2 linked regions of the Macaca mulatta genome follow. The protein of the gene in region 1 purifies or fractionates together with the protein of each later gene. This does not show direct contact. Links are inferred from orthologs where the notes say so. Each region holds a gene or a part of one and is shown in the gene's direction. Other genes may lie near its edges. The genes, in order: PTPN7 and MAPK14.

What was found.
Region 2: the proteins of PTPN7 (region 1) and MAPK14 purify together in Homo sapiens (affinity purification with mass spectrometry; 3 studies listed by BioGRID and IntAct, with this or other methods). This does not show direct contact. The link is inferred for Macaca mulatta from reciprocal best matches to the Homo sapiens genes PTPN7 and MAPK14.

The regions. Positions count from the first base shown.
Region 1 is NC_133406.1:59,817,265-59,820,023, reverse strand, and holds part of PTPN7 (tyrosine-protein phosphatase non-receptor type 7), read left to right. Parts: intron 1-932; coding exon 933-1,095; intron 1,096-2,694; coding exon 2,695-2,759. UniProt on the Homo sapiens protein: Protein phosphatase that acts preferentially on tyrosine-phosphorylated MAPK1. Plays a role in the regulation of T and B-lymphocyte development and signal transduction.
Region 2 is NC_133409.1:146,226,352-146,230,813, reverse strand, and holds the start of MAPK14 (mitogen-activated protein kinase 14), read left to right. Parts: upstream 1-1,354; 5' UTR 1,355-1,704; coding exon 1,705-1,820; exon of another isoform or gene 1,821-2,047; intron 2,048-4,462. UniProt on the Homo sapiens protein: Serine/threonine kinase which acts as an essential component of the MAP kinase signal transduction pathway.

The DNA.
Region 1 (2,759 bases):
CCAAGCTAAGACCTGAACGGTGAATTAGCCAAGCGAAGAGAGGGAAGGGAACACATTCCAGGCAGGTGGAACAGCATATGCTAACTAAGGCCCAGAGAAGAAATGTGAAAATGGATACACTGCTGGGAGCAGGGTTACAGGTTGGGCCCAGAGGTTATGTGTGGGGTAATGATGAGAGATGGGTTTGGAAGGCCAGTGAAGGTCAGATGATGAGGGGCCTTGTAGGACTGGCTAAGACACTTGGTTGTAAAATAACACTTTGGCTATAGAGTGAAAAATGGATTGGGCTGGAGTGAGAGGGTATCGTAGGGGATAAGACTAAAGAAAGAGATCATTTGGGAGTGCATATCCTAAATAAAACAGAGCACAGAGGCAAAAAGCATGACACAGGGCCTTCCCAGCCCACCCACAGGTAGCAGTGGGACATGTGCAGGGAGGTCATTAGAGGCTCACGCAAGAGGAACAGGAGGCCTGGGGAGTTTTGAAATAAACAGAGGGCACGATGGAGCAAGCAGAGCAGAGCGGAGAGAAGACTGTGGGAGGGCGCCAAGGTGGGAAACAGAGGGGCCGGGCATGGGCTGCGTGGAAGATGAGTCTGAGCTGAGAGGAAGTCAAGGTTAGATAAGGAGGGCTCAAGGGTCAGCACGCCCACAAGTGGGGAACTGTCTGTTGGAAACTGCTGTAGATGCTCAGCAGAGTGGAGATCATCAAAACGTCCACAGGGACCAGAAGGTGGCCTGCAACAGGCTTACAGTGAGGCTGGTAAGAAATGTAAACTCCTCCCGTGCCAGTTATAACCTGCCTCCAGCAGGGTCCCCAAGGGGACTGGAATCCGAAGTACTCTACCTGCCCCCATCTCCAGAGTCCTATCCCCAAAATACAGCACCTGCAGGTCCCATTTCTTTCTCCATGGTTTGGGGCCTGGCTCTTAGATTCCCTTGTCTCCCATGACCTCCCTGTCCCCTCCCTGGCTATCTTCAGTGCAGGGATTGGCCGGACAGGCTGCTTCATCGCCACGCGAATTGGCTGTCAACAGCTGAAGGCCCGAGGGGAAGTGGACATTCTGGGCATTGTGTGCCAACTGCGGCTAGACAGGTGGGTCTGTGGGTGTAAACAAGGCCAACAACGTTAATGGGGGGCATCAGTGCCTCTGGGCCCCAGAGCCCTGATAGGCCCATCACCATCAAGCACTCCTGCAAGAAAGGAAGAAACCCTTTCTGCTTAGAGCTGTTTATTTTGCAACTAACAACCAGCAAAAAATATCTATCTGGATGGCCGGGCGCGGTGGCTCACACCTGTAATCCCAGCACATTGGCAGGCTGAGGTGGGTGGATCACCTGAGGTCACGAGTTCGAGACCAGCCTCGCCAACATGGTGAAACCCTGTCTCTACTAAAAATACAAAAATTAGCTGGACCTGGTGCGGGCCCTTGTAATCCCAGCTACTCAGGAGGCTAAGGCAGGACAGTTGCTTGAACCCAGGAGGTGGAAGTTGCAGTGAGCCAAGATTGTGCCATTGCACTCCAGCCTGGGTGACACAGCAAGACTCTGTCTCAAAAAAAAAAAAAAAAAAAAAAAAAAGAATATCTATCTGGAAAGTTGGCTTGGAGCCCTGGAATTAAACATGATATGAGGCAACAAGTAGTGCAAAGAAGCTCACTGGGTTGAGGCAGAGCCAGTGTTCAGATTCCAACTTTTGTCTCACTGAGATGTCACTAGATTTCTCTGAGCTCCCATTTCTTTTTTTTTCCTTTCTTTCTTCTTTTTGTAATAATAGAGATGGGGTCTCACTATGTTGCCCAGACTAGTCTCGATCTCCTGGGCTCAACAATGCCCCCTTGGCTTCACAAAGTACTGGGATTACAGGCTTAAGTCACTGTGCCCAGCCCCCACTTCTTTATCTAGAGAGAGATAATGGCTCCTTCCCCCAGAAAACTGTTGTAAGAAATGAGTTAACTTATATGAAAGTGTTTTGGAAATGGAAACTATTATACAAATGTATGGAATCATTATTTTTACTTTTAAGATTATTAGAAAGAAGGAAACTTGAGGCTCAGGAGTATTCCTGGCCCGACTCAAGGCTTCAGAGGTCTGGTTTTGTCCCAGGAGCTGAGTGAATCAAGGAAGACCAAGCGTCAACACGGGGCATCACCCCTCAGCACGTGTAAGGGGCAGAGGACTCCTCTCACAGTAAATCTGAGGGTCAGCAAGGAGGAGTAGCAAGTAGAAAAGATGAATATAGGTGGCGGGGCATGGTGGCTCATATCTGTAATCCTAGCACTTTGGAAGGCCAAGATGGGCCAATCACTTGAGGTCGGGAGTTCAAGACCACCCTGGGCAACATGGTGAAACCCTGTTTCTACTAAAAATACAAAAATTAGCTGGGCATGGTGGCAGGCACCTACAGTCCTAGCTACTCAGGAGATTGAGGCAGGAGAACCACTTGAACCCAGGAGGCAGAGGCTGCAGTGAGCCAAGATCATACCACAACTCTCCAGCCTGGGTATCAGAGTGAGACTGTCTCATAAAAAAAAAGAAAAAAAGAAAAAGAAAAGATTAACACAGGCAAAGGAGTTGGCATGTTCTTTGAGAAAGTCAGGACTTTTCCAGTAGGACCGCAAGAATGTTTGACTGGAGCCATTCAGCCAGCACCCTGACCCTCCTTTACTCATGGTCTGTGTGTTTCTCCTTGCAGAGGGGGGATGATCCAGACGGCAGAGCAGTACCAGTTCCTGCACCACACTTTGGCCCTGTATGCAG
Region 2 (4,462 bases), on another chromosome or scaffold:
TGATGCCTTCCTCTGACCTACCCAATTAGACTCCCTGTGAGTCCTGGGAACTTGCATCTTAAACTCCCAGGGTGATTTTTCTGCATGTAAGTTTAAGAACTATTAGGAGAGTTTGAATGGAAAGCCTCAGCTTTTTTTTTTTTTTTTTTTTTTTTTTTTTTTTTTTTTTTTGAGACGGAGTCTCCTTCTGACGCCAGGCTGGAGTGCAGTGGCGCGATTTTAGCTCACTGCAACCTCCGCCTCCCGGATTCAAGCAATTCTCCTGCCTCAGTCTCCCGAGAAGCTGGAACTACAGGCTCAAGCCACCATGCCCAGCTAATTTTTGTATTTTTCAGTAGAGACGGGGTTTCACCATGTTGGCCAGGATGGTCTCTATCTCTTGACCTCGTGATCCGACCGCCTCGGCCTCCCAAAGTGCTGGGATAACAGGCGTGAGCCACCGCGCCCAGCCCCTGGAAAGCCTCAGCTTTGATGCAGGGTTAACATTTGCCTTTGGGACATATTTCGTCAGCATCTCGAAGAGTAACCCACATGTAGAGTAACCCATATGTCCTTGAGCAGATGGGAATGCAACAGCCTTCTGGCCAGAACCTGTCTCTCACTTTTTTTTTTTTTTTTTTTAATTTGAGACGGAGTTTCGCTTCTGTTTCCCAGGCTGGAGTGCAATGGCGCGATCTCGGCTCACCACAACCTCCACCTCCCGGGTTCAAGCGATTCTCCTGCCTCTGCCTCCCGAGTAGCTGGGACTCCAGGTGCGCGCCACCACGCCCGGCTAATTTTGCATTTTTAGTAGAGACGGGGGTTTCGCCATTTTGGTCAGGCTGGTCTCGAACTCCCGACCTCAGGTGATCCGCCCGCTTCGGCCTCCCAAAATGCTGGGATTACAGGCGTGAGCCACCGCGCCCTGCCACCTATCTCTTTTTCATGCAAGTGTTTTTTGGAATTTGGGGGTTCAGCTGAGCAGGTGCTCCGCTGCTAGTAACTACTCGCAGTTAAAGATCTTTTGACTCTTTCCCCGACACGCTATTTGTCACTGTCGTTTTCCACCACAGAGCCAGGTATTTGCCCTGCCGGCCACGGTGGGGCGCGCGCGGCGTGTGCTGCCCGCTTATCTCTTCCTTCCCTGGTCCGCCTTCGCGCCCTTAAGGAGACAGTTCCTGGGAGTTTCTGCCTTTGGGCTCCAGTTGTTGCTCTCTTCTCGCGAGAACTGCCCCTCTCATCCTCTCCTCTCACGAAGCCCCGCCCGCGAAGAGGTTCCATATTGGGTAAAATCTCGGCTCTCGGAGAGTCCCGGGAGCAGTTCTCGCGAGAGTACTGCGGGAGGCTCCTGTTTGCTGGCTGTGGAACCGCGACCACTGGAGCCTCAGCGGGCGCAGCAGCTGGATCCGGAGTACTGCGACGCAGCTCGGAGTCGGCCTTGTAGGGACGAAGGTGCAGGGAGATCGCGGCAGGCGCAGCCTTGAGCGCCGGAGCGCGTCCCTGCCCTTAGCGGGGCTTGCCCCAGTCGCAGGGGCGCATCCAGCCGCGGCGGCTGACAGCAGCCGCGCGCGCGGGAGTCTGCGGGGTCGCGGCAGCCGCACCTGCGCGGGCGACCAGCGCAAGGTCCCCGCCCGGCTGGGCGGGCAGCAAGGGCCGGGGAGAGGGTGCGGGTGCAGGCGGGGGCCCCATAGGGCCACCTTCTTACCCGGCGACTGCCGCTGGAAAATGTCTCAGGAGAGGCCCACGTTCTACCGGCAGGAGCTGAACAAGACAATCTGGGAGGTGCCCGAGCGTTACCAGAACCTGTCTCCAGTGGGCTCCGGCGCCTATGGCTCTGTGTGGTGAGTGTCGCCGGGCCTGGGGCCGCTGTGGGCAGGGTGGCCCCTCGCGCCCGAGAGCCAGGCCTGCACGACTGCTCTGCGTTGCGTCAAGTGGCAGGAATTTTCCTCGGGGGAGGGCCTTGCTGCCCCTTCGAGCTCTGCCTGTTCTGCACCTCCTGCACCCCTCGCCCTGCACTCACGCGGGTATTGCGGTCCACCGTGTGCAGCGCTCAAGTCCGCTGCGAGAGGTAGGTGGTGGTGCTGGAGCTCGGTTCTGGCTAGCACCCTGCGCCTTCGCCTCTCGGAAGGTTGCTGCTCGGCGGCAGGCACCGGGGGAAGGGCTGCTTCCTTGGGGGTCTCCCTCCGGACCTGGAGCAGAAGGACCCTCTCCCGCGATGCGCCCACGCTGTGGCGCCGGACCCTGTCCTCTGAGCAGACAAGCTTGGGGAGCTGCCGGGAGAAGCAGAAGGGCAGAGCGCAACCCGAAGACTGCGGTCATCTAAACAAAACTGACCAGGAAGGGAGCTCTCTCCGGGCCTTTTTTTTTTTTTTTTTCCCCAAACCTCTGTCGAAATCCCATCTCGAGAAGTGTTCTTTTTGAATTCGCACTTGAATTAGCAGCGATCCATAGAGCTTAAAATACCGACTTTATCTCGGTGAACACTGTGCCAGCTTGAGTGGTGTGTTTCCGATTCGGTTGAAAGCGTATTTCCTTTCTGTGGAGGGGCGGCGGTGGTAGTGCCTGCAAGAACGCTGCAGCTTGAGAAACTGGCAGTCTCACTGATTAGTCACATACCACTGCTCATTTAAGTATTGTTCGACAAAACAGTTTTTTCATTTGGAGCAAGAAAGATTCAGATCTGTAAGGCGCCCTCAAGATCAAAAAATTATTAACAGTGCTAGGAGGTATTGTAAGTATTTTTTGAGATAATTCCTGCGAATACTGTGTTTTAAAAGTCCCTTTCAGAGTTTGCAGGGATTTATCTAGTTATCTGCATTTATGGCCTGAGGTACACGATGGTTTTCGTAAGGATATGGAACCACATAGAAAAGGAAGGGAAGAGATACTTTTTAGCTTTAATTTACACCGTGAGTGTGTTTTAAATTAAGTCGATACCATGTAATTTCCAGACCTGAAATATTTCACTAACTGCTCTCTAATTTTCAAGGTTTTATACCCTGTATTTTAGATTTTCTATAATTTAAAAGCTACGGATCTGAAACTAAATATCAGATTTAACTGTTAGCTTTTTCTGTGTTTTAGTAATTCGTATTGTATGCGTCATTTGAAAAGGGGCCTGTAAAATAGTTTTTTGTTTTGGAACAAATTCCAGGCTTTTGGATGTGTTAATCTTTAAATATGATTTCTGTGTTTCCCAAAGTCACATCATGAATTTCCTGTTTGGTAGAATCTTCTGGGTAATTGAGATTGTGCAATTGTGTCCAGTAACAGATCATATTGCATTTTCTAGTTCAAGCTGCTTAAGTTATGTTGCAGATGGCACCGTGCGTGACATCTTTCTCCCATTTTTACAGCATGGCAGTTTACATTTTAAAGGAATTTGCAGGATTTTACATTCAGAGTGTGTGTGTGTATAGTTGATTTGCAGCATTTTACATTCGATATATACATGTTAATATATGTATATCCATTCAGTATATACATATTATGTATATCTAGTTGATTTGCTAATTTTCAAAGATGTATTTGGATCATTGTTCTTTTAATATTTTATAGCTCATTAATATACTTCCATTTTTTCATTCTTGAATTGACACATTCATTTCTGTAGTATCACGTTTTTGTTTTCAATGCTATTTAAATTTTAATGGAGTGATAACAGCAGAATAACTCATCTATAGAGGGTTTGGGTGAACTCCAGTTGAATTCCTCGCAAAGGTTCAGTACTGTTGGTGACTAGCTCTGCACTGGAACAGGAGATCCAGATTTACAGTGAAGTACCATTAAAATTAACTCCACATTTCTTTAGTGGTATATTTTTCTGTGGTATAAAAGCCAGCAGAGGCCGGGCGCGGTGGCTCAAGCCTGTAATCCCAGCACTTTGGGAGGCTGAGACGGGCGGATCACGAGGTCAGGAGATCGAGAAAGTCCTGGTTAACACGGTGAAACCCCGTCTCTACTAAAAAATACGAAAAAGTAGCCGGGCGAGGTGGCGGGCGCCTGTAGTCCCAGCTAACCGGGAGGCTGAGGCAGGAGAATGGCGTAAACCCGGGAGGCGGAGCTTGCAGCGAGCCAAGATGGCGCCACTGCACTCCAGCCTTGGCGACAGAGCGAGACTCCGTCTCAAAATAAAAAAAAAGCCAGCAGTATCTGACACTTAAAAGTACTTTTATTGAACAGATTTTTAAAAATAGGTAATATATTCACATTGTATAAAATTTGAAAGTTTTAAAAAGGTATTCAGTGGGCCGGGCGCGGTGGCTCAAGCCTGTAATCCCAGTAGTTTGGGAGGCCGAGGCGGGTGGATCAGGAGATCCGGAGATCGAGACCATCTTGGCTAATACAGTGAAACCCCATCTCTACTAAAAATACAAAAAATTAGCCTGGTGTGGTGGCAGGTGCCTGTAGTCCCAGCTACTCGGGAGGCTGAGGCAGGAGAATGATGTGAACCCGGAAGGCGGAGGTTGCAGTGAGCCGAGAT